Linked DNA regions of Saccharomyces cerevisiae S288C. Changing the gene in region 1 together with any one later gene gives a genetic interaction. Each region holds a gene or a part of one and is shown in the gene's direction. Other genes may lie near its edges. The genes, in order: MKK1, PTC1, ILM1 and OMS1.

Evidence for each region.
Region 2: mutations in MKK1 (region 1) and PTC1 together harm fitness less than expected from each alone (positive genetic interaction), as found in Saccharomyces cerevisiae (6 studies listed by BioGRID, with this or other methods).
Region 3: mutations in MKK1 (region 1) and ILM1 together harm fitness more than expected from each alone (negative genetic interaction), as found in Saccharomyces cerevisiae (3 studies listed by BioGRID).
Region 4: mutations in MKK1 (region 1) and OMS1 together harm fitness more than expected from each alone (negative genetic interaction), as found in Saccharomyces cerevisiae (3 studies listed by BioGRID).

The regions. Positions count from the first base shown.
Region 1 is NC_001147.6:765,650-774,627, forward strand, and holds MKK1 (mitogen-activated protein kinase kinase MKK1), read left to right. Parts: upstream 1-6,951; coding exon 6,952-8,478; downstream 8,479-8,978. Other genes in the region: HER1 (Her1p), read left to right, coding at 1-916; MCP1 (Mcp1p), read right to left, coding at 1,220-2,128; WTM2 (transcriptional modulator), read left to right, coding at 2,760-4,163; WTM1 (transcriptional modulator), read left to right, coding at 5,151-6,464; mitochondrial nucleotide exchange factor MGE1, read left to right, coding at 8,924-8,978. UniProt on the Saccharomyces cerevisiae protein: Involved in a signal transduction pathway that play a role in yeast cell morphogenesis and cell growth.
Region 2 is NC_001136.10:432,742-441,254, forward strand, and holds PTC1 (type 2C protein phosphatase PTC1), read left to right. Parts: upstream 1-7,167; coding exon 7,168-8,013; downstream 8,014-8,513. Other genes in the region: glutathione-disulfide reductase GRX6, read left to right, coding at 1-284; YDL009C (uncharacterized protein), read right to left, coding at 184-507; APC11 (anaphase promoting complex subunit 11), read left to right, coding at 756-1,253; YDL007C-A (uncharacterized protein), read right to left, coding at 3,826-4,083; proteasome regulatory particle base subunit RPT2, read left to right, coding at 5,306-6,619; MED2 (Med2p), read right to left, coding at 8,273-8,513. UniProt on the Saccharomyces cerevisiae protein: Serine and threonine phosphatase. Involved in tRNA splicing and cell separation.
Region 3 is NC_001142.9:642,990-647,178, reverse strand, and holds ILM1 (Ilm1p), read left to right. Parts: upstream 1-3,077; coding exon 3,078-3,689; downstream 3,690-4,189. Other genes in the region: DMO1 (Dmo1p), read right to left, coding at 1-53; JHD2 (histone demethylase), read left to right, coding at 689-2,875; STE24 (zinc metalloprotease), read right to left, coding at 3,811-4,189.
Region 4 is NC_001136.10:1,089,072-1,098,263, forward strand, and holds OMS1 (putative RNA methyltransferase), read left to right. Parts: upstream 1-4,691; coding exon 4,692-6,107; downstream 6,108-9,192. Other genes in the region: PIB1 (phosphatidylinositol-3-phosphate-binding ubiquitin-protein ligase), read right to left, coding at 148-1,008; RAD34 (Rad34p), read right to left, coding at 1,362-3,440; IPK1 (inositol pentakisphosphate 2-kinase), read right to left, coding at 3,670-4,515; YDR316W-A (gag protein), read left to right, coding at 6,993-8,315. UniProt on the Saccharomyces cerevisiae protein: Mitochondrial methyltransferase which suppresses respiratory defects caused by OXA1 mutations when overexpressed.

The DNA.
Region 1 (8,978 bases):
ATATTTTGAGAAAATGGAAAAGGTACATCATAATGTTCAAAATACAATTGATTCTATGTTTGAGAAAAGAAAATCCGGCGAACTGCCACTGCAGGAAAAGGAAAACCTACTAAGGTTATTGCTTCTTGAGAAAAATTTATCAAATATTCTTGATATTTTTGCTTCTATGCCCAATATAGCAGATGTCGTACCATTTTCAAAAGCCGATAATAGTTTCCCTAATATTGGGGATAGCACGGTTAGCGCAAACTATAATGATGGTATTCGTCCATCTCTAAAACACTTAGATTCTGACAGGTTAATCAACGATGTTTCAATTCCTGAAAACGATTCATCAATTAGACCACACTTAATGGCCACCGACTCGGGACGAATCATCGATGTGACCACTGGTAAAGCTCTTCTTTTCAAGAGTTCGTCTAATACCTCACTGGCCGGCAAGAGACAGGAAGAAGAGGAAGGTGAATTACATAAATGGGGTGTGTTTGTACAGCACCAAAGCTCAAGACATAACTCTGGGCTTCCTTCATCCGCCAATTCTTCGAGAATTAGCGGGTCGTTAACACCAGATAGCAGTGTCGCCGGAGGAAAGAAAGGGGAATCCTCTCGCACATCTGGTACAAGGCCAAAAATCTTACCAAAGATTCCTACCGGTGCCGAATTAAGGGATGCCATTATTAAAGCTAAGGGTATTGATTCTGTAGATGATCTGATTAAAAATGTTACCTCTGAAAAGGTTGGATTGGAATCATTATATGGAGATGAATTGAACTCTAGAAGCCCGAGTAATGACAGTTTACAAGAATCACAACAAAAGGCGCCTTTGCAGAGGCCCCTTGTTGAAGATGAAACAGTGACAAAAAAATATGACAAACTATTGAACGATCTGTCTAATGTTCGTCACAGTAAAACCTAAATTATTTTATGCTTCTGTCTTTCCTTTCTCTTTCGATTATTAGAAGGTGCATCTTTGTATAAATATCCCATCAATAATGTATTCTTAGGAATCTATATATGTATGTACGTTTTATGTGTATATGTATTTTACGTTTTTTCATAATCATATACTTTCTGCCGAAATTTTTTGCCTTCATTATGCACACTAATGTTATTAATCAGATAAAAATACAGAAATTTAAAATAAATACTGAGAATAATATAATTAACTGTTCGAGAATTGTCGCAAATTAATAGCTTCACACTACTCCCACAAGGATTCCTAATTCACGTGCAACAGCAACCGGATCTTTTTGAAAATGCTTTCGAATTGGTTGGGACCCAGTTTCGTAGAATCCTCTTTCATCAATCTAATCAGAGAAACGAACCCAACGAGTGTTAATAGATTGATAGCTGTGGACCATTTTTTCCTGCTAGTCATTTTTCTAACACCGAAATAACGGCAGAGCCCCGAACCTATATGATATACACCTGACTCGAGGAGAATAGCTAACGGCACCAGGCCTCCAAGCCATTTCCACCACCTGTTCTTGCTAGATAGTAATTGCTTTATAGAGGCGAAATCCACCTCAGTAGAGATGGAATTCGGCACCCATTTCATAATTAATAAGTGGTATATCAGGACGGGAACAAGGATGTATCCACTAATCACTTGTGGAGGAATGCGGAAGGTCTTATACAATCCAAATAAATAGCCAGAAATTCCACCAGTTAAACCAATCGAATCTTGGGATAGATCTTGTTCGGCCGATATCTTTAAATGTCGATGTCTATTTCTTCTTGGCTTGTTCCAGTTGTTCACGATTCGGAGCAAGACACCAGCAGAAACATGAAGAGTAATACCCGCAACTAACAGCTTGGTAGTTATGGACGGTAAAATCTCTCTCACCATCATTAAAACGTCGTCAGGAGCAGAATCAGGTGATACTGCCGGCGTGATTAATGTATTTGCTGCATGTAGTGGGAAATACAATGCCATGGGCAGTACCGAAATCTTTTGACAGTTCCAAAGGAATCTCCGACATGAACTCCTGGAAAAAGGATACGGAATGCCAAATATTTTTTTCCTCTTATCAGGATTACCATCTCCTTCGGGGCTATGTGCATTAACATCATGAGGGAGACTAGCAGGGTCTACTGGTTCTGGAGGCACTTCATGCAACTTTATCATCGTAATAAACAAAACTCTGGGCTAACTGGTATATGCCCTAGTAATTCGGGACCTGTTAGGAGCAATACAATCTACACAAGGTTTTCCTTACTTATTTTCCAATTGACGACCAACTTGCCTCACACAATTACAGAGCACGTATTCGCTCTCTAGCCACTCTTTTCAAAACAAATTTTAGTTGTGGACCTGGTTAGGATACAATCAGCGATGTCGGAAGACTGATGTAGTAGAATTGACTGGAACGCTTCTTCTATAGTCTACACGGAAGCTATACTCCCTTGAATAGATGGTAGATGTTCCGCATAAGGTTTGTCCTTTTGGTTTTTTAGCCCCGTTCGGGGTTCGAACTGCTAAGTCATATTCCGCACATATGCGTCCGCAGACTCTCATTGGATCATTCTTACCCATTCGGGTCATAATGCAAGCCTTTACCATTTATGGCACTTTGATTTCCCTTTCCATCTCACATCTTCAATTCTATTGTTTTTGAAAAAAAAAAAAAATAAAAAAAAAAAAGATTAAAGGCAATTAGTTAGCTGACGTATGGAACATCTCTGCTGTACAGCTACATTTACTTATAAGACAAGGAGCAATTAGTAGCGACGGGAGCAAGAACTAAAAAGGATAGAGGATGGCGAAAAGCAAATCCAGTCAGGGTGCGAGTGGAGCACGCCGTAAACCGGCACCTTCTTTATACCAACACATTTCTAGCTTTAAACCACAATTCAGCACAAGAGTCGACGATGTTTTACATTTTAGCAAGACACTGACATGGAGAAGTGAGATTATTCCAGACAAATCCAAGGGCACCTTGACGACTAGTCTTTTATATTCTCAAGGTAGTGATATTTACGAAATAGACACTACTTTACCATTAAAGACATTCTATGACGACGACGACGACGACGACAACGACGACGACGACGAAGAAGGTAACGGCAAGACGAAGTCTGCAGCCACCCCAAATCCAGAGTATGGTGATGCTTTCCAAGATGTTGAGGGGAAACCATTGCGCCCAAAGTGGATTTACCAGGGCGAAACAGTGGCAAAAATGCAATACTTGGAAAGCTCAGACGACAGTACGGCGATCGCGATGTCCAAGAACGGCTCTTTGGCATGGTTCAGAGATGAGATCAAGGTTCCCGTTCATATCGTACAGGAAATGATGGGCCCTGCTACTAGATACTCTAGTATTCACTCTCTAACCAGACCAGGTTCATTAGCAGTGTCAGATTTTGATGTGTCGACAAATATGGATACGGTAGTAAAGTCACAAAGTAACGGCTACGAGGAGGACAGCATCTTGAAAATCATCGACAACTCCGATAGACCGGGAGATATATTACGTACAGTGCACGTTCCAGGGACCAACGTGGCTCACTCAGTTAGATTTTTTAACAACCATTTATTTGCATCTTGTTCAGATGACAACATTTTAAGATTCTGGGACACAAGAACAGCGGACAAACCGCTTTGGACGCTAAGCGAACCGAAAAATGGACGACTAACGTCCTTCGATTCCTCTCAAGTTACTGAAAACCTATTTGTCACTGGGTTCAGCACGGGTGTCATCAAGCTATGGGATGCGCGTGCTGTGCAACTGGCTACTACTGACCTCACACATAGGCAGAACGGCGAGGAACCGATCCAAAACGAAATAGCCAAGTTGTTCCATTCTGGCGGCGATTCCGTTGTCGATATCCTGTTCTCACAAACCTCTGCAACAGAATTTGTTACGGTTGGAGGAACGGGTAATGTCTACCACTGGGACATGGAGTACTCTTTTTCAAGAAACGACGATGACAACGAAGACGAAGTTCGAGTGGCTGCTCCGGAGGAACTTCAGGGTCAATGTTTAAAATTTTTCCACACAGGTGGCACAAGAAGATCGAGCAACCAATTCGGGAAGAGGAACACTGTGGCGCTACACCCCGTAATCAATGATTTTGTTGGCACTGTTGATTCAGATAGTCTTGTTACTGCCTACAAACCATTTCTGGCCAGTGACTTCATTGGCAGAGGTTACGACGATTAAAAAAAAAAAAGAGTAAGAAATTAACGTTACCACCTATGGGAAAGGCAGTAACTCACAAGCATTCACGTACATAATTCTGTTTTTTTTTTTTTTATTCATTTCTAGCACGCTATCGGGGTTATTTTTTTTTTTGTAATATATAGTGATGGTATAATGTTGTATAGATACTGGTATCGCTCCTAATAAAGACTCTTTCAGATTTCTGAAGCCAACGAAGTAAGGCCTCAAGAAAAGAGGGTTACCAGTAATTAACCAAGCAATTTCTTTTTTTTCTTTCCAGCAAAGAAATAAGACAAAAACCGGCTATATGGAGAAGAGGGAGGATCTAATGGTGACATAGTCCATTTCAAGATTCCCTCTTTCGTTTCTCGGATGAAGCTCGATGTTTACAATTCAGAATCTTAAAAGGCTGTCGCTAAGAAAGACCCAGAGGCACATGCAAGATAGTTGTGCCTGTACCACGTGAGAAGGCGGTATTCAATATGCGGTGCTGTGCTGGCTTCCCTTTTTGGAACGCGCCGGGGTATAACAAAGAAAGGCTAAGTCATACAATAGGCAAAAGACCTTTGTCTTTCCTTTTTTTCCTCTTTCCTAACATACGGTGGTTTATGTACTATCCCTTATGTAATTGCTTAGCTATACACAGTGAGCACACATAGTGGCGCTCACTACTCCCTTTTAATTTCAACTCGTAGATAGTTGGGCTATTTTCCTTCGAATCCTCGTTTATCATCTCATATTTAAGAGTACCATTTCGGGGCTTTTTTTTACCTTTTCCTTTTCCATGCAGTCTGTCCCCTTAATGTTCTATGTTTTTTTTTTTTTTTTTTCAGTTCTGTAGCTTCCAGTATAAAGGGAGGGAAAAAAGAAGATCCGAAAAGTTTATATTCGCCTGAATTGTAGATATTAGATAAGAAAATTAATTATTAATCAACCAATCTTGAAAGATACAAATAAATTGTAACACACTATACATTACAACCAAAAATGCCAAAAAAGGTTTGGAAATCATCTACGCCTTCCACTTATGAACATATCTCCAGCTTAAGACCAAAATTTGTGTCTCGTGTGGACAATGTTCTGCACCAAAGGAAGTCCTTGACGTTCAGCAACGTTGTTGTTCCAGATAAAAAAAATAACACTCTAACCTCAAGTGTTATATACTCTCAAGGTAGTGATATCTACGAAATTGACTTCGCTGTACCACTACAAGAAGCCGCTTCAGAACCGGTGAAAGACTATGGTGACGCCTTTGAAGGTATTGAAAACACCTCGTTGAGCCCAAAATTCGTGTACCAGGGTGAAACTGTCTCCAAAATGGCCTACTTAGATAAGACTGGAGAAACTACATTATTGTCGATGTCTAAGAACGGGTCGTTGGCTTGGTTCAAAGAGGGTATAAAGGTCCCTATTCACATTGTACAGGAATTGATGGGTCCAGCAACCAGCTATGCCAGCATCCATTCTTTAACCAGACCTGGTGATCTACCTGAAAAGGATTTCTCATTAGCCATCTCTGACTTCGGCATTTCCAATGATACCGAAACCATTGTGAAGTCTCAGAGTAATGGTGATGAAGAAGACAGTATTTTGAAAATCATTGACAATGCCGGTAAGCCTGGTGAGATTCTACGTACTGTTCATGTGCCTGGTACCACTGTGACTCACACCGTAAGATTTTTCGACAATCATATCTTTGCGTCTTGTTCAGATGACAATATTCTGAGGTTCTGGGACACTAGAACTTCCGACAAGCCTATATGGGTGTTGGGAGAACCAAAGAACGGAAAATTGACCTCGTTTGATTGCTCTCAGGTTTCCAACAACTTGTTTGTTACCGGTTTCAGTACGGGTATTATCAAGTTATGGGATGCCAGAGCGGCTGAAGCTGCCACCACTGATTTGACTTATAGACAAAACGGTGAAGATCCAATTCAGAATGAAATCGCTAACTTCTATCATGCCGGCGGTGATTCTGTTGTCGACGTCCAATTTTCTGCCACTTCAAGCTCTGAATTCTTTACTGTGGGCGGCACTGGTAATATTTACCACTGGAACACTGACTATTCCTTGTCAAAGTACAATCCTGACGATACCATTGCTCCTCCTCAAGATGCCACTGAAGAATCACAAACAAAATCTCTGAGATTCTTGCACAAGGGTGGAAGCAGAAGATCTCCAAAACAGATTGGAAGAAGAAACACCGCCGCTTGGCATCCAGTTATTGAAAACTTGGTTGGTACTGTCGATGACGATAGTTTAGTCAGCATCTACAAGCCCTATACCGAGGAAAGCGAATAGTCGCCATGCTAAACGCGCGGAACAAGGCCATATTTATATATTTAATGCTTTTAACTATTATTAGTTTTTCTCACCCAGGGCTGGTTTCTTTACCCTGTGTGATGAAAGTGCGCGCCTAAAGTTATGTATGAGCTACTGTTAGTATATTTATTATTCAATATTTAATTAAACAATACTTACTACTGATGAAAGATACCGTACACCTGCTGGCGAATAAGTCACTATACACGAGCAATTATATTTCTCAGGTCATTGCGACAATTGAAAAATCGGATCGACTGATTATCATTAAGGCGTGTGACGGCTCAGAATAAGGAAGTTCTATTTTAAAGGGCAGCAAAAATTTGGCACAATTTAAAAAGAAAGTTGGTCTCTGGTAGGGTTGGATCCGGTTTTTCATAACTTGCGTTTCATTTATGGTTGCGTATTTCTCGCAGTGTACATAGACCAAATTAACTCTATCCTTCCATTGCACAATTTGCCCAGTATGGCTTCACTGTTCAGACCCCCAGAATCTGCGAAATGCAACCCAAACTCTCCTAGACTTAAACTGCCCCTCTTACGAAATAATCAGGTAGATGAAAATAATATATACTTGACGTCGAATGGGAGTTCCACCACAGCTTACAGTAGCCACACCCCAGAACCACTGACCTCTTCCACATCGACACTTTTCTCCCAAACTCGACTTCATCCTAGCGACTCTTCAATGACTTTAAATACAATGAAGAAGAGGCCTGCACCGCCATCTTTACCTTCGCTCAGCATAAATTCACAGTCTAAGTGCAAAACACTACCCGAACTCGTACCCATCGCCGATGTGTCTGATGGTAAACATGATTTAGGATTGAAACAGCGTGTGATAGCCGAAAATGAGTTGTCTGGTAATAGTGACTTAACCCCTTCATCGATGGCAAGCCCCTTTTCACATACAAACACCTCTTCTCCCTACCTCAGAAATGATCTGAGCAATTCAGTGGGATCTGACTTTTCAAATTTGATATCGGCATATGAACAAAGTTCAAGTCCCATCAAGTCATCGTCCCAGCCTAAATCATCTTCTGAATCGTACATAGACTTAAACAGTGTACGAGATGTTGATCAATTGGATGAAAATGGTTGGAAATATGCAAATTTAAAAGATAGGATCGAGACATTAGGCATTCTAGGAGAAGGAGCCGGTGGCTCTGTTTCCAAGTGTAAATTGAAAAATGGATCAAAAATATTCGCTTTAAAAGTGATAAACACATTAAATACAGATCCCGAGTATCAGAAGCAAATATTCAGAGAATTACAGTTTAATAGGAGTTTCCAATCCGAATATATCGTACGATATTATGGAATGTTTACGGATGACGAAAACTCTTCAATTTATATTGCTATGGAGTACATGGGTGGGCGATCGTTGGATGCTATTTATAAAAATTTGTTAGAGCGTGGTGGTAGGATCAGTGAAAAAGTCCTGGGGAAGATTGCAGAAGCGGTACTAAGAGGACTATCATATTTGCATGAAAAAAAAGTTATTCATAGAGATATTAAGCCCCAGAATATTTTACTGAATGAAAATGGTCAGGTGAAACTTTGTGATTTTGGGGTCAGTGGAGAAGCCGTTAACTCGCTAGCCACAACATTCACGGGGACGTCATTCTATATGGCTCCAGAAAGGATTCAAGGTCAACCATACAGTGTCACATCTGATGTATGGTCACTTGGATTAACGATTTTGGAAGTGGCGAACGGGAAATTTCCATGCTCTTCCGAGAAGATGGCAGCCAATATAGCTCCCTTTGAATTGTTAATGTGGATTTTAACATTTACTCCTGAATTAAAGGATGAACCCGAATCTAATATCATATGGAGTCCATCATTCAAATCCTTTATCGACTACTGTCTGAAAAAAGATAGTCGTGAACGGCCATCTCCAAGACAAATGATCAATCATCCTTGGATAAAGGGTCAAATGAAAAAAAATGTCAATATGGAAAAATTCGTGAGGAAGTGCTGGAAAGATTAATCAATAAGCAATTTTTTGCGAACATGATTAAGTTTATTTTACTTTATTTCGCATTTTCCATAAAAAAATTTTCCTCCATACAAGATTCATACCCAGGATAGCCTAACTAAAATGTATGGCTTTATACAGCTTGACGACAAACTTAATTTGAATATATAGATATATTAATTTAATCAGCAGGATTAGCATTTAATGTCTTACATGTCTTTGTATTTGGCATACGTATTCAGTGATATTTTAATACCTCGCAACGCAATTTCCAGCGAGTTTACGTTTGAAGCAAACGTAACTCCCATGAGTTATACATAACGCCTGCTGCAGCTGAACCAGAACAATATACCGTGGTATTACCGTAAGCATTTGAAAACAATAATAAGTTTCCAAGTGCCGCTTTAGATCCAAAGTACAAGGACATATTGTGGAAGAGTAAGTTGAATATTTGAAAATGAGAGCTTTTTCAGCAGCCACCGTTAGGGCCACAACTAGGAAGTCGTTCATCC
Region 2 (8,513 bases), on another chromosome or scaffold:
ATAGCAAGGGCATGAAGGAACTGCTTGAAAATGAGTATCAGTTTATCCCAAACTACTATATTATAGAACTTGACAAACATGGACATGGGGAAGAGCTGCAAGAATATATCAAGTTGGTGACCGGTAGAGGAACTGTTCCAAACCTTTTGGTTAATGGAGTATCAAGAGGAGGTAATGAAGAAATCAAGAAACTGCACACTCAAGGGAAACTTTTAGAATCATTACAAGTCTGGAGTGATGGTAAATTCTCGGTTGAGCAACGTGAAAAACCTTCCAATAATTGAAATTGTTACAAAAAGGAAAGAAGAAAAAATTAAGAATAAATATATAAATAAAGAGGTCGTGAATGATTAGGTCGTGAAATGCAGTGTAGTTGGAAAGGCGTAGTTTTCCTAGCACAAGGCGTTTCGGAGTTGGAATAAAGAAGCTATCACCAACGAAGAAGCTTTTTTGTCCAAGACATCTCTTAAAAGGGTTGTGAAAACATAAAACGCTTAATGCCTTCATATATACATATATAAGTTTATGGTTTCGATGTTTACAATAACTTCTATCCTTTGCTGGTCCATGCACTTCACCTTGGTAAGTTATGCAACGCACTTTTGTCTACGCCTGCATTCGATATAAAGGGTAAGCTGCCGAGATAACTTTTGTATCTTCCGTGTCTGCAGATAAAAAAATAATGCATTCTTCAAAAACTTTGTACAATATCGGGAGAGTTTAACAAGCAAAGTGGCAATACAGATTATAAAAATATGAAAGTTAAAATAAACGAAGTGCACAGTGTGTTTGCTTGGTCATGGCACATCCCTAGCACATCTGATGAGGACGCAGCCAATAACGATCCAATTGGCAATGATGAAGACGAGGATGTCTGTGGTATCTGTCGTGCCAGTTATAACGGTACCTGTCCAAGCTGTAAATTTCCAGGCGATCAATGCCCTTTAGTGATTGGGCTATGTCATCATAACTTCCATGATCATTGTATATACCGTTGGCTTGATACACCAACCTCAAAAGGACTGTGTCCGATGTGTAGGCAAACTTTCCAGCTACAGAAGGGTCTAGCAATTAATGACGCTCATGTCCAAAAGTTCGTTGAAATAGTTTCAAGAAGAAGAGAAGAAATGATAGAGGAGGGCGTCGCAGAAGAGTTTGTGGACTTTGATGAACCAATAAGGCAAAACACCGATAACCCAATCGGTAGACAGCAAGTTGATACCATCCTGGACGAAGACTTTTTGTTACGATAAAAAAGAAACTTAGAAATCACAATTAGCTATATTTCCATACGGTTCTTTTCTTGTGAACGCTGTTAACATTCTGTATACTTAAATGAAAATTTAATATTGATTTTTTCTTGTTGCAGCTAAAGATAAAAAAATTTTCTTTTCCAATCGTTGAATAGATGTACTGTAGCCGGAACTGAAGTTAAGGTTGTTAGATTGAAAAAGAACAACAGTGTACTAATCATGCTAACGATGACAGCGGTATCGTTGCATACTTAGAATACATAAAAATATGCTTCCAATCGGATTTGAACCGATGATCTCCACATTACTAGTGTGGCGCCTTACCAACTTGGCCATAGAAGCTTCTGATTTGTGTTCATTTGATTGTAAGTTAGAGTATTTCAAGCTCTAACTCAATTATGTGAACTTTCATAAAATTGTGTTATTTTTGAGAAATATGTGAGTTGTTAGATAATTGTTGGGATTCCATTGTTGCTAAAGGCTATAATATTGGTATACAGAATATACTAGAAGTTCTCCTCGAGGATATAGGAATCCACAAAAGGGAATCGATAGTTCTACATAATGTTATTATTTTATCTTCTTTCCTTTTATGCGTTGTCATTCATTATCCTATTACATTATCAATCCTTGCATTTCAGCTTCCATTAGATCGGATGACTGTTTCTCAATCTTTATGTCATCTTCTTACACCGCATGTGATAATATAATATTAAATAGATGATATTAGAGTTCAATTCCAACAATTTTCATTCTAGATAGCGGGAATATTACTGGGTATTCAGTATATCACAACGTCTCTTACAAGATAGAGGATACTACAAGAGGGAAGCAAGAATCATACATGGTAATGTTGTTTTTTCTTCCCCACATTTTTTGTTATCATTCGTTATTTATTATATTTTCAATGCTTGCATTTGCAGCTTCCATCTCATCTGATGACTGTTTCTCAATTCTTATAGTGTGTTATCATGTACGGTATTAGATGATGACATAAGGTTATGAGAAATTGTCGTCGAAGTTAAAGGAAGCTGTATTCTGTATACATAATACTATAGAATTTACAAACAGTGGAATTGCAACAATTATCAAATTATTCACCTAATAATCACCTTTAACATTCAGGGAGGTTTATTTTTGCTTCCGAAATTTTTACAGTCTACAGGGAAGAAATAAATATTTAGTTGAGAAAGTTTTGTTTATTTGTAAGTTATTAATTTGAAAAATAAATACCATAACTAGCGCAAAGCTTATAAAAGAGATGTTTGTTGAAAAATGCAGAAACCCCATATATAAAACCATGAAATGTCACAATGGACATGATGTACATTCTTGGAGATAACATCATATTCGAAATATTCAATATGCCCAATTGGTACCTGTTCTCCATACCCCATTATATGATACAAATGATCTGCCCCTATTCTAACACTGTGCTAGCAACATAGCAATTATACTAAATTTTTTCAGTCACTATGCAATACATGTAATCTCTCAACTACCAAGCAGTCATTATTCTATTAATATATATTTGTGCTTGGAAGTATTGTTTCACTTCTCAGAGGCCTTTCTTGACATGTTATAGTTTTTTAGGTACCTTCTAATCCTGTAAATTTATACAAAAATTGGTATATAATGGCTACCTCCGGAAATTTTAACAACTTTTGGGTCACACTATTACTGTGTATACTTCCTTTAGAGATCTCAAGCATTACTGAAAGATAACCTGAGGAAAAACATAGCGCGTCTACGGATGTGTAATACTCGCTGGATTTCCTGGTAAAAACTACTGTACATTTATCAGCTGCCTCTGCCAATGCTATTGAGAACCGTAGGTTCATTAGAATTACTTCATTCAACGGAAAACGTCACTATACCTGCCGCTTGTGTGTCGCGTCAGTAACGCCTTGACAGAAAAAGAAAGAAAAGAATATGACCGACCGATCGATGTATTATTATTATTGAACTGATTATAAAAAATTGGAACGTCGTAGAATCAGAAATCATAAGACAATGGCCAACTATGCCAAATCACACATCAATATTTAACCGAGATAGCAAAAGAAAATAAATTTCGATTATTTTTAAAATGTAACTGACAGTTTTTGGCACTTGTGGACTTCCTCTTTCCGGCAGATAGCAAAACCAACGGTAGAATGGCCCCGAAATTTAAATTTTATTTCATTGTGTGCTTGAGCGTGGCCTTTTTTTTTTTTTTTTTACATATCACAAACAATTCACACATTACCACACATACCATAAGCTAACGTATGCGGTGCAAAGTTCACTATTAGGCGCTTAAAGGCTTGGAACGAAATGACTTCTGGCTTTTGTTTCCTATACACATTCTTAGCAAAACTTTTGGTGTTGTAACAAGCAATGAGATAGAGAAAGAAATATATCCATCAATGGAAGAAATAGGCAGACGTCGGTAATTTTATTCTATTGAAAATATGCAAAAGTGACAGTATAAATTGAAGTAACTAATTTTACATCTAGTAAGCTGCTGTTGAAGAATTGAATAGTATCGCAGTATTTATTTTGTATACCCTTAGAATACACATACTTGGTGTTAGAAGCCATCTAATACACTATATAACTCGGGGATTAAATCATCTTGGAAGAGCGAATCTAGTTCAGGATCGCCTGTCGTAAAGTTCGAGGATAAGGACATCGAATTTAGTAGTAGTCCTAATGACTCGATGTTATTGTCTAAAATTTGTTCAATTTCTTTTCCTGATTTATCATCGTCTTCTTGAATAGGTAAACAGTAATATTTACCAAAGTTCAGGAGGGTTAGGATGGTGTGAAAAATTATAGGAAGGAACATCAAGAAAGTGCTTGAAATATTTTTCTTGGATTATGGAAGTATCAAGAACGATATTATTTCAATAATGTGATGGTTTATATCTTTGCATACAATAGATTTTGTGATACTTTTTTTATGTAATGGTCCCGTAACCCCGTCGCTCTTTCCCTTTTAATTTTGCCCGATCCACTTTCTATGCCGGTAGTTTAGCCGCCAAGTGCTATTTTCAAACGAATCAATAGTAGCGGCTGCAACTTTGAAAAAGAAAGAAACAAAATTATGCGCTAGTTTTCCATTTCTTGTATTCTTTTTTCTTTTGCGGTGGTAATTACGGGAATTTAGTGATGTTGGAACGAGAGTAATTAATAGTGACATGAGTTGCTATGGTAACAATCTAATGCTTACACCGTATATTAATGTACACCTCGTATACGTTTAAGTGTGATTGCACCTATTGCAGAAGGAATGTTAAACGAGAAGCTCAGACAATACTGAAGCTGTGCTAAAGATCTATTAATTGAACATGATATGGTAGGTACATATATGAGGAATATGAGTCGTCACATCAATGTATAGTAACTACCGGAATCACTATTATATTGGTCATGATTAATATGACCAATCGGCGTGTGTTTTATATACCTCTCTTATTTAGTATAAGAAGATCAATACTTATTTCTTCATTAATACTATTTTTTACCTCTAACTATCAACAAGTGATAATTGTTGGAATTCCATTGTTAATAAAGGCAATAATATTATGTATACAGAATACAGCTTCCTCTAACTTCTATGACAGTTTCTCATACCTTATGTCATCATCTAACATTGTACATTATAATATACTCGTAGTAAGACTACTAGTTGAGAGAGAATAGTTGATTTTTATTCTAACAAATAATATTCCAGCAGGTTTACATATTCCTAGGTTTGGGATATATCTTAAGTCAATAATTCATCATTAGTAAGGCAACTTGGCCGAGTGGTTAAGGCGAAAGATTAGAAATCTTTTGGGCTTTGCCCGCGCAGGTTCGAGTCCTGCAGTTGTCGTCATTTTTATATTCCCAATATTTTTATCACTCCGGGTAACGAGTTATTAACGGTTTTTCTCCGGTGGCAAATGTCTCTTTTCTTTTACCTAAAAGAAGGTTAATGTGAATATTAGTGAATATGATGCGTATCAGTGTCAAGCTTACAGTCAATTCAAGTTAAAGAAGAGACAGCGTTTTTAATAGAAAATAAAATGGGACAAGGTGTATCATCTGGACAAGACAAAAAGAAGAAGAAGGGATCTAATCAGAAACCCAAATATGAACCTCCCGTTCAATCTAAATTTGGTCGTAAGAAAAGAAAGGGAGGTCCAGCTACTGCTGAAAAATTACCCAACATATATCCAAGTACTCGTTGTAAGTTAAAGCTTCTAAGGATGGAACGAATTAAAGACCATTTGTTATTAGAAGAAGAATTTGTCTCTAACTCTGAAATTTTAAAACCCTTTGAAAAGAAGCAGGAGGAGGAAAAGAAACAATTGGAAGAAATACGTGGAAATCCATTGAGCATTGGGACCCTTGAAGAAATTATAGACGATGATCATGCGATAGTGACAAGTCCAACTATGCCTGATTATTATGTATCTATCTTATCCTTTGTCGATAAAGAGTTACTAGAGCCTGGATGTTCTGTGTTATTGCATCATAAAACCATGTCCATCGTAGGTGTTTTACAGGATGACGCCGATCCAATGGTTTCGGTCATGAAAATGGATAAGTCGCCAACAGAATCATACAGTGATATTGGTGGCTTAGAATCTCAAATTCAAGAAATAAAAGAGTCTGTAGAGTTACCGTTAACACACCCCGAACTGTATGAAGAGATGGGTATCAAACCTCCCAAGGGTGTGATTCTTTATGGTGCACCCGGTACAGGTAAGACATTGCTAGCAAAGGCTGTTGCAAATCAAACATCTGCCACATTCTTAAGGATTGTTGGCTCAGAGTTAATTCAAAAATATTTGGGGGATGGTCCTAGGTTGTGTAGGCAAATTTTCAAAGTAGCGGGTGAGAATGCACCAAGTATTGTATTTATTGATGAAATAGACGCCATTGGTACTAAAAGATATGACTCCAATAGTGGTGGTGAGAGAGAAATTCAGAGAACCATGCTGGAATTGCTGAACCAGCTGGACGGGTTCGACGACAGAGGGGATGTGAAGGTGATTATGGCCACTAACAAAATCGAGACTCTTGACCCAGCATTAATCAGGCCTGGGAGAATTGATCGTAAAATCTTATTTGAAAACCCTGATCTAAGTACTAAGAAAAAAATTTTAGGGATTCACACTTCCAAGATGAATTTAAGTGAGGACGTTAATCTTGAAACTTTAGTAACAACAAAGGATGATTTGTCAGGCGCCGATATCCAGGCAATGTGTACAGAAGCAGGTTTGTTAGCCCTTAGAGAGAGAAGAATGCAAGTTACAGCGGAGGATTTTAAACAAGCCAAGGAGAGAGTCATGAAAAATAAAGTTGAGGAAAATTTAGAAGGTTTATACTTGTGATGTGCCCATTTACATTTTTCTATAATAGATTTACGTATATAAGTAATGCTTCAACAAAGCTTAATATGTGTACATTTTGTATCACGTGCAATATTTGTTTCAAAAACTTAATATAGGTAGGGCGTCGGGGCCTTCGCGAATTCTAACTGCAAAGGAAAACTGGTGAACACATCTGAGAGGGTTTGTTGTCCTAATTTTATAGGAAACTAAAACTCAAAAGACAAAGTATACCTTTGCAAATTGAAAGCTTAGTTAAACATTATTATTCGTGTGTTTGAGGTCACTTTTTTTCGTCTTAAACAGCTCTCAAAGTTGTCTCAAAATTTTTATCCGGATTCCTTTACATTAACAGACCCCAAACACAACAAGTTTTGATAGTTTAAGTAAGTGAACGCTTATTTTTGTTGTCGTTGAAAAGAAAATAAATAGGCAGTATTATCAATTAGGAGGTGAGTTAAATTCCATTCTATACCGAGTATACGAGATTTTGCACATTCTTACTTCATATATCATTTAGGCACTGCATTTATCTTTTAAAAATCATTATAATGAGTAATCATTCTGAAATCTTAGAAAGGCCAGAAACACCATATGACATAACTTATAGAGTAGGTGTGGCGGAAAATAAAAACTCGAAATTTCGGAGGACAATGGAAGATGTTCATACGTATGTTAAAAACTTTGCTTCAAGATTAGATTGGGGATATTTCGCGGTGTTTGATGGACATGCTGGGATTCAGGCCTCCAAATGGTGTGGTAAACATCTTCATACAATTATAGAGCAAAACATTTTGGCAGATGAAACACGAGATGTTAGAGATGTATTGAACGATTCATTCCTAGCCATTGACGAAGAAATTAATACAAAACTTGTAGGAAATAGTGGATGTACTGCTGCTGTTTGCGTATTACGTTGGGAGCTTCCGGATTCAGTTTCTGATGATTCAATGGATTTAGCCCAACACCAAAGAAAGTTATATACAGCAAATGTTGGTGATTCTCGAATAGTATTGTTTAGAAACGGGAACAGCATAAGACTGACTTATGATCATAAGGCATCTGACACTTTGGAGATGCAGAGAGTTGAACAAGCAGGTGGCCTGATAATGAAAAGTCGTGTAAATGGTATGCTGGCAGTGACGAGATCGTTAGGGGATAAATTTTTTGATAGTTTAGTAGTGGGCAGCCCATTTACCACGAGCGTAGAAATAACTTCTGAGGACAAATTTTTAATCCTAGCGTGTGATGGATTATGGGATGTTATTGATGATCAAGATGCATGCGAATTAATCAAGGATATTACTGAACCTAATGAAGCTGCAAAAGTCTTGGTTAGATATGCTTTGGAAAATGGCACAACAGATAATGTAACGGTCATGGTTGTCTTCCTCTAAGAAGGATCCGTTATAAACCGCGCAAAAATTATGCATAGACATAGAGATATGCAATGTGTATGTGTGTATGTATGTATATGTATAAACGTACCAAATCTATTTTGCATGCATCTCTCACATGACGAATGAGGTTTTAGTAGAATAGGATTCCAGATTTTTAAACTGGAGAACATATTCTATCATATATATACCAATTAAATTCACGTAGCGAATGCACAACACGGTTTACAAGTCAATAGTTAACAATAGGAAGACCAAGCTATATATTGAAGCCGCTGAGGTCTAATTCGCCATTATCTCCAGTGGTCGACCAGTCAATATTAAGGTCGTTGAAATCATTTAATGTCAAGTATTCTTCACCGTTGTCGGCTGGAGGAGGGTTATCTCCAGGATTGGAAACAACGGTCGTTGGTAAATCATTATTAACTATATTTTCATTATCATTTCCGGTAGTGATAGAATTGTTCTTGTTATTGCTGTCGTTGTTGGTGGTATTGTTA
Region 3 (4,189 bases), on another chromosome or scaffold:
CGGGTGGCATATGGGCGGCTAATTGCGTATAAGATGATAACATCCCAGCGCATCACGTGAAAGGAAATACATATATATGTGGCTTTATTACTGGTTTAGAGTATTTTTGTACTGTGACTACTACTGTATTTCATGTAGCAGAATACACAGCCTTTTACTTCTGTTCTTTCTCAAAGGTTCAAGAAATAGAATAGCCAAGTGCCATCAAGAACTCGAACTAACTTTCGTAGAAGGAGTAGTATACAGTCTTGCTTGTCACAACTCTTTCAGGAGCTTTCTTTTTAGTATTATACACGATCCGTATGCTCATCTCGTGATATAGAAGTAACGCATTGAATGCAAAGAAAGGCAGATATTTTACCCTAGGTGTAACCAGAAGAGATTAGGAGGGCTTAGGGCCAGTATTTTATCTGATGTAGGGCAAACGAGTAAAATGTGTAGGGTATGGGCTAATATCAAGGGCTTCGGACTTACTGCCCCGCTCACAGAAACAGCCGCACTAATTAATTTCTTTTGTGTAACGTTAAAGTAACCCTGGAATCATCATTGAAAAATTATCATCCCAAGAGACAGAGATGTGCATGTTGACAACGCAGGCTCAATGTAGAATAAGATCTGACTACTTAGTCAATTTTACCTCTAGATCATATTAACTAATCTCATCTTGCACAAAAAACGTATCACTATCATGGAGGAAATTCCTGCCCTGTATCCAACGGAACAAGAATTCAAAAATCCGATCGATTATCTCTCTAACCCCCACATTAAAAGGCTTGGTGTACGATATGGTATGGTCAAGGTCGTACCACCAAACGGGTTCTGCCCGCCACTTTCTATTGATATGGAAAATTTTACTTTTCAACCAAGAATTCAAAATCTGGAGAACCTAGACCTGAAAAATAGGTGTAGGCTATTTTTTATGAAACAGTTAAATAATTTTAAAAGATCCGTTAAGGATCCATCGAAACTTATACTTAGGGAACCTTATACGATTGTAGAATATTCAGATTCTACTCATGCATCGGAAATACTAAAAAAAAAAGTGTACTTTTATGACGTTTTCTCTGAACTAATAAAAGACAATCGGACACTTACTGACACTACACAGTCATTCAGGCGAAAATTGAAATTTAGAGATATTTCCCAATTAAGAGGCGACATCAGTCTATGGAGGACCATTTCTAAAAAATTCAACGTACCAATCGGCTTGTTAAAGGAAATTTTTGAGAAATATATTGCCTCATACTACATATTTCTTCATTCACTGAACGAGAACGTGCACACGGCGCTGCATGCTGACCAGTATCCAAAATCCTTATTAAGTGATGACGAGGACGATTTCGATCTTGGGCCAGATTCGAATTCTGGGTCGGATTTTGAGGAGGACGATGATGATGCTTGTATTGTTTGTCGCAAGACAAATGATCCAAAAAGAACAATTTTATGTGATTCATGTGACAAACCATTCCATATATATTGTTTATCACCACCTTTGGAACGTGTTCCCTCTGGCGATTGGATTTGTAACACTTGTATCGTCGGAAACGGATATTACGGATTCACTCAGGACACGCATGACTATTCTCTACCAGAGTTTCAAGAATATTGTAAACGTCAAAATTCAAGGTTATTACCAGCACGAAAACTGTCTATAGATGAGTTGGAAGAGATGTTTTGGAGCTTAGTGACCAAGAATCGTCGCAGTTCATTAACGACAGTTAAATACGGTGCTGACATACATAACGAATTGCCAGGTCAAATTACCGGCTTTCCGACGAGAGAATTTATACCCAAAAATATAAATGGGGACGAATTGATAGACTACCTCAAATATTGCGATCATCCTATGAATTTAACTAACTTGCCTATGGCTCATAATTCGCTATTACCGTTATTTAAAAGAAATATTTCTGGCATGACTATTCCTTGGATTTACATAGGCTCCTTATTTTCCACATTTTGTTGGCATATGGAAGATCAGTATACCCTAAGTGCTAACTATCAACATGAAGGTGACCCTAAGGTCTGGTACAGCATTCCCGAATCGGGATGTACGAAATTCAACGATCTATTAAATGATATGTCACCAGACTTATTTATCAAACAACCAGACCTACTGCATCAGCTAGTGACTTTAATATCTCCGTACGATCCAAATTTCAAGAAATCAGGTATTCCTGTGTACAAAGCTGTGCAAAAGCCCAACGAATATATTATCACGTTTCCTAAATGTTACCATGCTGGTTTTAATACAGGTTATAATTTTAATGAAGCTGTCAATTTTACTATAGATTTCTGGCTACCATATGGATTTGGTGCGATTACGGATTATAAATTAACTCAGAAAGCATGTGTTTTTGATATGTTTGATTTAATGATCAATGTTTTGGACAAGTACAATAAAGATACTCTATTGTTCAATGATGCTTTTGTTAGGCAATGTTACTCTTCATTGATCGTCTTTTATAATACTGAATTAAAACGCATACGGAAAATTCAGGCCATTGTACCACGGACAACTCTTTTGGAGGTGCATACTGATCCAAACGATGAAGATGAGGAATACGATATATTTTGTTCCCAATGTAAGACTATATGTTCAATAGCCTTTGTATTGCGAAAGAATAACTATGATTCAATTAGAACGTATAAAAGACACAAGAAAAACCATTTAAGTATTAGGCAGTGGAATGAACTATCCACGACGGACAGTAAAGTGAGTATCCTGTGTACGCAGGATTACTTAAAATCAATACAAAACTTGAACAATAGCGACGGTGAAGAACCTTATATTGACGATGAATTGTATTTCACTAAGTCTTTGAAGGATATTGACTCTTTAATAAAGCAAGTTGGTGTTAAGTTAGATAGATAGTCTTCAATATTTGTGTATGGCGTAATGATTTTTTAGAATAATACTTGGCATTTAGCACGCCACTTTTAGCGCGAAAACACCAAAAAAGTAAAGAAAATAATGTCGATCAATCTTTAAAGAGAGACAATTGAATGGTAGTGTAACAATTTACAACATAATAGAGTATCGCATTCAGCAAAAGTAAAGAATAAATTCTAAGAAAATGGCTCAAGCCTTGAACTCCACCAATATTGCTTTTTTCAGAGTAGCATTTTTATTCACGATCGCCTTCTTTTGTTTAAAGAACGTTAATTCTATTTTGCAAAATACATATTTCATAGTCTTAACGCAAGCGATGAATTTACCGCAGTTAACACTGTCACGTTATAGTGGTCAATTGGGTCTTTTCGCTCTTCTGTTTACTCTTAACGGTGTTCATGATCTAATTCCCCTGTTAGAAAACAATGTTAAATACTTCCAATCTGTTGTGCCAGTTAGATTACTAATTTTTTTTATTTTGACAAGTATCTCGTACCTTTGGGAGTCAAACTTTTACGTTCACAATAACTCTGTTTTTATTTACTGTTTTGCAGAAGTTTGGATAAATTTTCTTTTGTATAATGCCATTAGGGAGGAGAAAAATGAAGAGTTCAAAAGATTGAACCAATTCATGGTTAATGATGAGGATATTGAAGAACCCCAACCATTTACCGTGAAGACTGAAACCACAGAAATCATTGAAATAATCAATGATGAAGAAAATGACGATGAAGATGGGAAAGATAATGATGATAACAATGAGAAAGGTAATGATGATAGCGATGCAAAAAAATAAAATGTTTAATCGTTTATTTTTTCTTTCCTTTATTCTTATAGTAGATACCTGTGTATGTATGTAGATATAGACATAACGAAGCTGAATTTAACGGTACATGCTAATATGTGTACTCTATAGATTAGTTTTTCTTCTTTTCACTAACATAGTCTAGAGCGGTCAATCTTTCAGCTAGAGTTGGATGGGAATAATGATAGCTAGAATACAGAGGATCTACATTCATGGTGGAAAGGTTTTTGATTTGTAGATCAATTAGAGCCCTACATAGATTTTGCTTGTAGCCCAATTTTTTAGCATAAGCATCAGCTTGATATTCATGAGTTCTGGAAATTAAACTCATCACGAATTGCATGGCACATTCGAGTGGAGTTAATAAGTCGTTAAATAACATAAATCCAATGATAATGGGGAATTCCTTAGTGATAACGGGATCAACAAAACTGCCAGTGGACTTCTCTAAGAAAAAGCCGAAGGTGTTGTAAAATGATGTATTTCTGTAG
Region 4 (9,192 bases), on another chromosome or scaffold:
TAATGAATATATAAGATCATAATTAAACAAATATATAGAAATCTTTTACAATTAAAGAAAAAAATAAAAGAAAAGGGAAGTTAAAACTTCGATTATTAACAGCTGAAAAATTAAACTTTGTAATGAAAAGCAAATTGGGAGTTATCGTTAAAATACGGCATCATGGAAAGGACAAAAGTTCCTTTTAACAAAAGCATGTCCATTTCCCTTCTGGGCTGCAGTCATTTGCGCCCTTTTGTGAAACCAGTTCTTAATACACTTATAATGGAAAACACACAAGCATTCTAGTCTCCCAACTTTCTCACCGGGTTCCATATTCTCAAAACAAATCGGGCACTCCTTAATTGCATTATCTGTTGTATTAGGCGATATCTTGTACACTAACATTCTATTTTGAAAGGCAGGGCTTTCTTTTACGGAGTCATCTGCTGCATCTGACGTATTCGTATGTTGTTGGGCATTTTCAGCTCTCTGTATGCAATCCTCTACGTGCTTTCTGGTCTCTTCTTCATCAGGAAACTGTGTGAGATCTGAGTTACAAATAGGGCAGAAGTGATCCTCCTCGTTTTGTGAACTTTCTTCGCTCCTGCATGCCGTACCGGATTGATCTACCGAATCTTCCAGGATTTCCGCGTCTTCATCAGTGTTGCTATCTGGTGCAGAAAGTGCAAGTGCATTTGGTGGTACCGAAGTTTGCGATAGTCGTACATCTCTGTTGGTGGAGGATACTAGTAGATTTAAATGAAGGAGGTTATCGTAGCACTCATTACAAGTTCTATATGGAGGCGATTCCACGTCGCTATTTTTTTTCTGCAAGGCATGGACTCTCTTTTTATTATAATTAACAAAATTTTCGGTACAAGACGAACAAAATATCCTTCCACAACACCTACAATGGTGTCTTCTTACGAGAAACGAAAAGTTCGTCTTGCATTGAAAACAGCTGTGAGCTTCCTCGTCTGCCTGCCACCTGGCAAGATTATTGATACAGTCCTCTTTAATAACCATGCGCTTTAGTTCTTCATATGTTCTTTTCTAGCAGAAAAAAAAAAAAAAAAACAGCAGTAGTGTACAGTGTTTGATCAGGTTATTTCTTAATCGTCCGTCCCCTGTTTACTATAAATCCCGAGAATAGTTCTACTTTTTCTTTTCTATTCTTCTCTTCGGTGAGCTGCTTCGATGCCCATTACCCGGATTCCATGATACTCCGCTATTTCACTGGCCCTTATCGAAGATTTCCTTCTCCAGAGATATGATTATGCACAGGCTTCCATACGCTCTATCGATCGTGCAAACATTTATACCCTCTGCGAAACAGCGTCGAATCCATTTTACTTTAGAAAAGGTGAAATACGATGTAGTCAATGGTCGTCCAACGTTTCTTCATTATTTCCAACATTACCGTACTCAGCATTTAATCGATCGTTAACTCGTAGCTTTCTTAATAGAATGTCCCAGAACGAGAGTCCCAGTAGTACTTTAGTTTGCTGCTTCAAAAGCTGGACTGCTTTATAGTCTGTCTCTTTGACTAGAATGCTTTCAATTTTCGGAATGGCATGGCCTTTTTTCTGTTTAAAATCAAATCCACTTACCACATCCAAATACTTGATTTTTTGCATCTTTCTTTTACCTTTGTTATACTCCTTTATCAGGCATTTAATATCAACTTCTTTGCTAAGCGGTATTAATTCAAATCCATCAGGCTTAGTTTCTTTCGAGTAAATTTCGATGTTGCCAAATTTATTTTTATAATGCGACAAATCTGTTATCACATGTTCCTGTCCTAAATGATCGCAATACGTGCTGGGGTATTTAGGAGACTTCATTGTTTGCTCATACGAAAACAATTCTTTGATAACGTACTTGTCTAGGTTTCTTACCATCCTTTCCCTCATCGGTAGATACTTTTTACGTTTTAATGGTTGAGCATTAGGTAGAATGGAACGCCCTAATATTGCCCAGTGCTGTTTACTCTTTAATTGAATGACGTCTCTTCTCCAAAATATGGGCTCTTGTGAATTGTCTCCCTTAGTAAATGTTGCGGCTTGTTTTGCACATGCTTTTAATACTTCATTAGACTTTAACAGAGAGGGAATCACGAAATTATCTGTTCTTTTAATCTCTGTCACACTCTTTGGTAATGTAAAATTAGTTAAAGCAATCTTTTTCATTATTGCGTAATGATGAACAGATGCTTTTTTCTTGTTCAAGACTTTCAACCACTTAGATAGATATTGGTAGCTAGTGTAATGCTTCGATTTCAAAATAGGAGAAGACTCAGATAATTCAAAGTACCTGTAACAAACATTTGGCACATATCTTGGTGAAACATCTTGTAGTACCTTTTCAGCATGATTGATACGGACTACATAATGAAACTTTTGGTTTAGGTTGTACTTCATGTCTACCGAAGGTTGATAAGTAGGGACAAACTGATCTTCGCGTGTTTTCAAGACCATTTCACGTTCACCCAGATGGGCTATAGGGTCAATGATGTATAATTCACCATCGCTCAAAGTAGGAACTTCTAATTCAATCCAAAAATAAGGTTGTATTAGGTCAGAGTCAAATCTGTTGGGAACTTTGCCAATACCATGTTCGATTTGCCACTTCACCTTATTGCACCTAATATCGTAATCGTGCAAGGGCAAGGCAAAGCATAAGTAAAGCTTCTTAGGCCCCGGTAGCACATTTTCTAAGATAATAAAGAAGAACAACGTTAGAATATCTCTGTTGGCCATTTTCCTTTTAGCCATCTTGCGAATATCTTCAACACCATGATTTATCAACGGCCTATTTCCATAAAATTCTTGTTGATTTTCAAGAACTTTTTTATATGTAGATTCAGAGATTGAATTTTCGTTTTGGTTATCGGCATACTTGATAAGGTATTGCAGCCTGTTGAAATTCTGTCTAATGCCATTGCTATTCATTTTGTAATTGGAACGGAACCATAAGACCAAACCAAGCAAAAGGGTTCTTAAAGAATCCATTTTAAAAGCTGGATCCCTTACATCCCAATCTTTGAATTTTTTGCCAATTAATTTTGGTACAGACCTTCTTAGTCGCCTATTTAGTCTTTCATCGTCTATCCATTTCATCCTAGATTTTAACAAAAATAACATAAATGGAATCATTATCAAATGGAGTCCATATTTAAGTCGCTGATAATTGAATGCTTTTTTATTATGCTTTCTTTTGTACTTGCTGACTTTCTCCCTGTCTCTGCGTATATTGCCAAATGTGACAGTTAAGCTTCCATCTAAAGAAACTTCTTCCCAATCAATATCACTTAAATCATCTTCTTCATCCTGGTAAAAACTATCAAAAGAATCATCTGTTTCTTCCTCCTCATAAAACGATACTTCTTTCTTCTCAATCTTTGAGTTTTTTCGATTGGCCTGATCATTTTGGCTTGATTCTAACAGTCTCTTGGCCATTACTTTTCTTCTCACTATTCCTTAAACTCATGTATGCTAGGTTTCAAGGTTTGACCCTTCGTTGAATATCGAATTTGGTCATTCACCCTGGCTTGTGTGTTTTCCGTTTTATTATTTACATTTTCCAGAGGGCCACTAGAAAAAAAAAATACTTATCTATCCATATATTTTACAAATGGTAATGTATGTGCATCTGCCAGTACCAAAGGTGGAAAGAAAAGTATACAGTTTATTTATTTGAAGTATGATAAATTTTTTGGCTTGATGTCAACTGGCTGTAAGTTTTTGTCCAATGGGTCCATTTTTCTTTTGGCTTTAGATCTACATCTATTATATTCACGTGCAACGCATTTTCAGCACTGTTCCATTCAATGAAACATGTCACGTCTCTGAGTGTCATGAGTAGCAGATGCTCATCGTTTACATCGTTGATTGATTTTATGTCACTTATTGGAGTTGTGTTCTTTGTAAGTTTTTTCTGTAAATCATAAAGGATCTTGAAAATGTTATTGTCATTGCGCAAGTACTCATGCATGGCATCTTTAAACTTAACCGGAAATATATTACATTCTCCAAATATTAATTCCAAGTGTGCTGGATTCATTAGTAATTGATTGTAACAGTACTTAGTGCCTCTACCCTTAAATGCATTATGAGTACAGTTCCTACAGTAATCTGTATCATAGTATAACCATTTAGGCTTCAATTCTAAAATAACTGTTTGCAGATTTTGTGAACAATAAGATTTTAAAAAGTGGTTATTTAATATCAGATTTGAGGTATTATTGGTGAGATTTTTAATTTTGATAACTTTGACTACCTTATCGTCTAAATTTAGAATAAAGTCACTGAGAATTGGCCTTATAGCTTCTATATCGACGTCAATCAGATACATCGGGCAAAGCAAGCCATGTAGAAGAGGTTCTACATAATCTTTAATATAACTGATGTTTTTGATTGTATAAGAATTATTTGATGATAACAGATCGGGCCAACGGATGCAGCATCGCCACAACCACGTAGGATCCCCATAATCAATCAGTATATTTGCCCCACCACGTCCGATGACTTGCATCGATCTTTCTTTTCAAAAAAGGAACTTATCTCTGACAATTTTCGACTGGTAGCATATCACGGTTCGAATTAATTTTGGAAACCCTAAATGGGACCGCATCAAAAAAGTACCTTGTGAAAATATCTTCGATAAATAAACCACTGAGGAACGAACAAGAAAACCATAAGTAAGTGAGGATGATCGTATTTCGTCGCTTTCCTACGTGCCTTTTACATCACATTCGACAACCGGCATCCAGGAGTCTTTTGTTGGAATCACAAAGGCGATCATTATCTTTTACATCTTATAAATATAACAGCAGCCACATTGATGATGATAAAAGTAAAAAAAAGCTTAAAAATGTTTTCCAAATGAATAGCAATAGAGTCATTCGTAAGCAAAAAACAAAAGAAGAATTGGCCAAAGAGAGGTTCGAAGAACAACTGAGGTCACCTAATAGATTTGTGAGGTGGGGAGCTATTGCGAGATCAGAAAAGTTTTCAAAGGGAATGACCAAGTACATGATCGGTGCTTATGTGATATTTTTAATCTATGGTCTCTTCTTTACCAAAAAACTGTTTGCGAAAGACAAAGAACTGGAAAGATTGTTGAAGAAACAAGAAGAAGGGAATGCCAATGAATACGAAGCATTAAGGATTAAAGAATTGAAAGGAAAACTAAGGAGGAGAGATGAATTGAAATTAGAAGAATACAAAAAAATGCAAGAAGAAGGCATTGAAAACTTCGATGATATTCGGGTACAGAATTTTGATCAAAACAAATTGAATGAACAAATATTGCCAGCAAGAGACACAACAAACTTTTACCAAGAAAAAGCTAACGAATATGATAAGGCAATTAATATGGAAGAGAGAGTAATATTTCTCGGTAAAAGAAGGAAATGGTTAATGAAACATTGTCAAGGGGATGTTTTGGAAGTTTCATGCGGTACAGGAAGAAATATCAAGTACCTTGATATGTCACGCATCAACTCTATAACATTCTTAGACTCTTCTGAAAATATGATGGAAATTACACATAAAAAATTCCGAGAAAAGTTTCCTAAGTATAAAAAAGTTGCATTTGTTGTTGGAAAGGCGGAAAATCTAGTAGACTTAGCAGAGAAAGGTAAGCCCTCTCTAGAGAATGAAAAGGAAAACCAAGTAAAATATGATACTATCGTGGAGGCGTTTGGTTTGTGTTCCCATGAAGATCCGGTTAAGGCACTTAATAATTTTGGCAAGTTATTAAAGCCAGATGGAAGAATTATTTTACTGGAACATGGTAGAGGTCAATACGATTTTATAAATAAGATATTAGACAACAGAGCTGAAAGAAGACTGAATACTTGGGGCTGTCGATGGAATCTCGACTTAGGCGAAGTGTTAGATGATTCTGACCTAGAATTGGTGGAAGAAAAACGGACTCACTTAGGCACTACTTGGTGTATCGTTGCAAAGAGAAAAGGTGATGTGAAAAAGAAAGACGAGCTTGGGTTTGTAGAAAAATACTTGCAATCAAGTATTAGAAAGAGAATGGAATCATTCGAAAAAAAAGACGATATGGCATCTAAAAAAGAACTTGAGCCAGTACCTCCTGTAAGTAAAAGTTAACATATTTATTCATACCAATGAATTTTATACAGGCTTAGAATCGTGTAAATATTTCAGTAAGCAAGTTAAAATGTGATCTAAAACCCCTTAGGTAGTTCTCCTTACTTCTAAAGTGATCATACTGACCATATGTGACGTAACGACGCTATTATTAACAATCCAAAAATTGCGTCACTGGGAAAAAATAAAAATGCGAACTCTGTGGATCGAACACAGGACCTCCAGATATCTTGACCAAAGTTTTTTCTTCAGTCTGGCGCTCTCCCAACTGAGCTAAGTCCGCTAACATAAGACGGAACTTCATGGGTGGTCTGTCTTTTATATATGCAATCTTTTATTTTTATTGCGTTGCGGTTTTCAGTATTCATAAGAAGGTGAAAAATGAAACAGATCGTTGTGATCAAATCGCTCAAATCGGATTTAAATTAAACTTTTTCTTCTATTTCAATGCATTTAATTAAGATAGGTAACTCTTGTGAATAAGTGTTGGGATTGCATTGGTGATAAATCCATAATTAGGTACACAGAATATTCATGAAGTTTTTTTTGAGGATAAAAGAATCCCCAAAAAATGAGATTGGTAAATCTTGTTGGAATAAAAATCCACTATCGTCTATCAACTAATAGTTATATTATCAATATATTATCATATACGGTGTTAAGATGATGACATAAGTTATGAGAAGCTGTCATCGATGTTAGAGGAAGCTGAAACGCAAGGATTGATAATGTAATAGGATCAATGAATATAAACATATAAAACGGAATGAGGAATAATCGTAATATTAGTATGTAGAAATATAGATTCCATTTTGAGGATTCCTATATCCTCGAGGAGAACTTCTAGTATATTCTGTATACCTAATATTATAGCCTTTATCAACAATGGAATCCCAACAATTATCTAATTACCCACATATATCTCATGGTAGCGCCTGTGCTTCGGTTACTTCTAAGGAAGTCCACACAAATCAAGATCCGTTAGACGTTTCAGCTTCCAAAATTCAAGAATATGATAAGGCTTCCACTAAGGCTAACTCTCAACAGACAACAACACCTGCTTCATCAGCTGTTCCAGAGAACCCCCATCATGCCTCTCCTCAACCTGCTTCAGTACCACCTCCACAGAATGGGCCGTACCCACAGCAGTGCATGATGACCCAAAACCAAGCCAATCCATCTGGTTGGTCATTTTACGGACACCCATCTATGATTCCGTATACACCTTATCAAATGTCGCCTATGTACTTTCCACCTGGGCCACAATCACAGTTTCCGCAGTATCCATCATCAGTTGGAACGCCTCTGAGCACTCCATCACCTGAGTCAGGTAATACATTTACTGATTCATCCTCAGCGGACTCTGATATGACATCCACTAAAAAATATGTCAGACCACCACCAATGTTAACCTCACCTAATGACTTTCCAAATTGGGTTAAAACATACATCAAATTTTTACAAAACTCGAATCTCGGTGGTATTATTCCGACAGTAAACGGAAAACCCGTACGTCAGATCACTGATGATGAACTCACCTTCTTGTATAACACTTTTCAAATATTTGCTCCCTCTCAATTCCTACCTACCTGGGTCAAAGACATCCTATCCGTTGATTATACGGATATCATGAAAATTCTTTCCAAAAGTATTGAAAAAATGCAATCTGATACCCAAGAGGCAAACGACATTGTGACCCTGGCAAATTTGCAATATAATGGCAGTACACCTGCAGATGCATTTGAAACAAAAGTCACAAACATTATCGACAGACTGAACAATAATGGCATTCATATCAATAACAAGGTCGCATGCCAATTAATTATGAGAGGTCTATCTGGCGAATATAAATTTTTACGCTACACACGTCATCGACATCTAAATATGACAGTCGCTGAACTGTTCTTAGATATCCATGCTATTTATGAAGAACAACAGGGATCGAGAAACAGCAAACCTAATTACAGGAGAAATCCGAGTGATGAGAAGAATGATTCTCGCAGCTATACGAATACAACCAAACCCAAAGTTATAGCTCGGAATCCTCAAAAAACAAATAATTCGAAATCGAAAACAGCCAGGGCTCACAATGTATCCACATCTAATAACTCTCCCAGCACGGACAACGATTCCATCAGTAAATCAACTACTGAACCGATTCAATTGAACAATAAGCACGACCTTCATCTTAGGCCAGAAACTTACTGAATCTACAGTAAATCATACTAATCATTCTGATGATGAACTCCCTGGACACCTCCTTCTCGATTCAGGAGCATCACGAACCCTTATAAGATCTGCTCATCACATACACTCAGCATCATCTAATCCTGACATAAACGTAGTTGATGCTCAAAAAAGAAATATACCAATTAACGCTATTGGTGACCTACAATTTCACTTCCAGGACAACACCAAAACATCAATAAAGGTATTGCACACTCCTAACATAGCCTATGACTTACTCAGTTTGAATGAATTGGCTGCAGTAGATATCACAGCATGCTTTACCAAAAACGTCTTAGAACGGTCTGACGGCACTGTACTTGCACCTATCGTAAAATATGGAGACTTTTACTGGGTATCTAAAAAGTACTTGCTTCCATCAAATATCTCCGTACCCACCATCAATAATGTCCATACAAGTGAAAGTACACGCAAATATCCTTATCCTTTCATTCATCGAATGCTTGCGCATGCCAATGCACAGACAATTCGATACTCACTTAAAAATAACACCATCACGTATTTTAACGAATCAGATGTCGACTGGTCTAGTGCTATTGACTATCAATGTCCTGATTGTTTAATCGGCAAAAGCACCAAACACAGACATATCAAAGGTTCACGACTAAAATACCAAAATTCATACGAACCCTTTCAATACCTACATACTGACATATTTGGTCCAGTTCACAACCTACCAAATAGTGCACCATCCTATTTCATCTCATTTACTGATGAGACAACAAAATTCCGTTGGGTTTATCCATTACACGACCGTCGCGAGGACTCTATCCTCGATGTTTTTACTACGATACTAGCTTTTATTAAAAACCAGTTTCAGGCCAGTGTCTTGGTTATA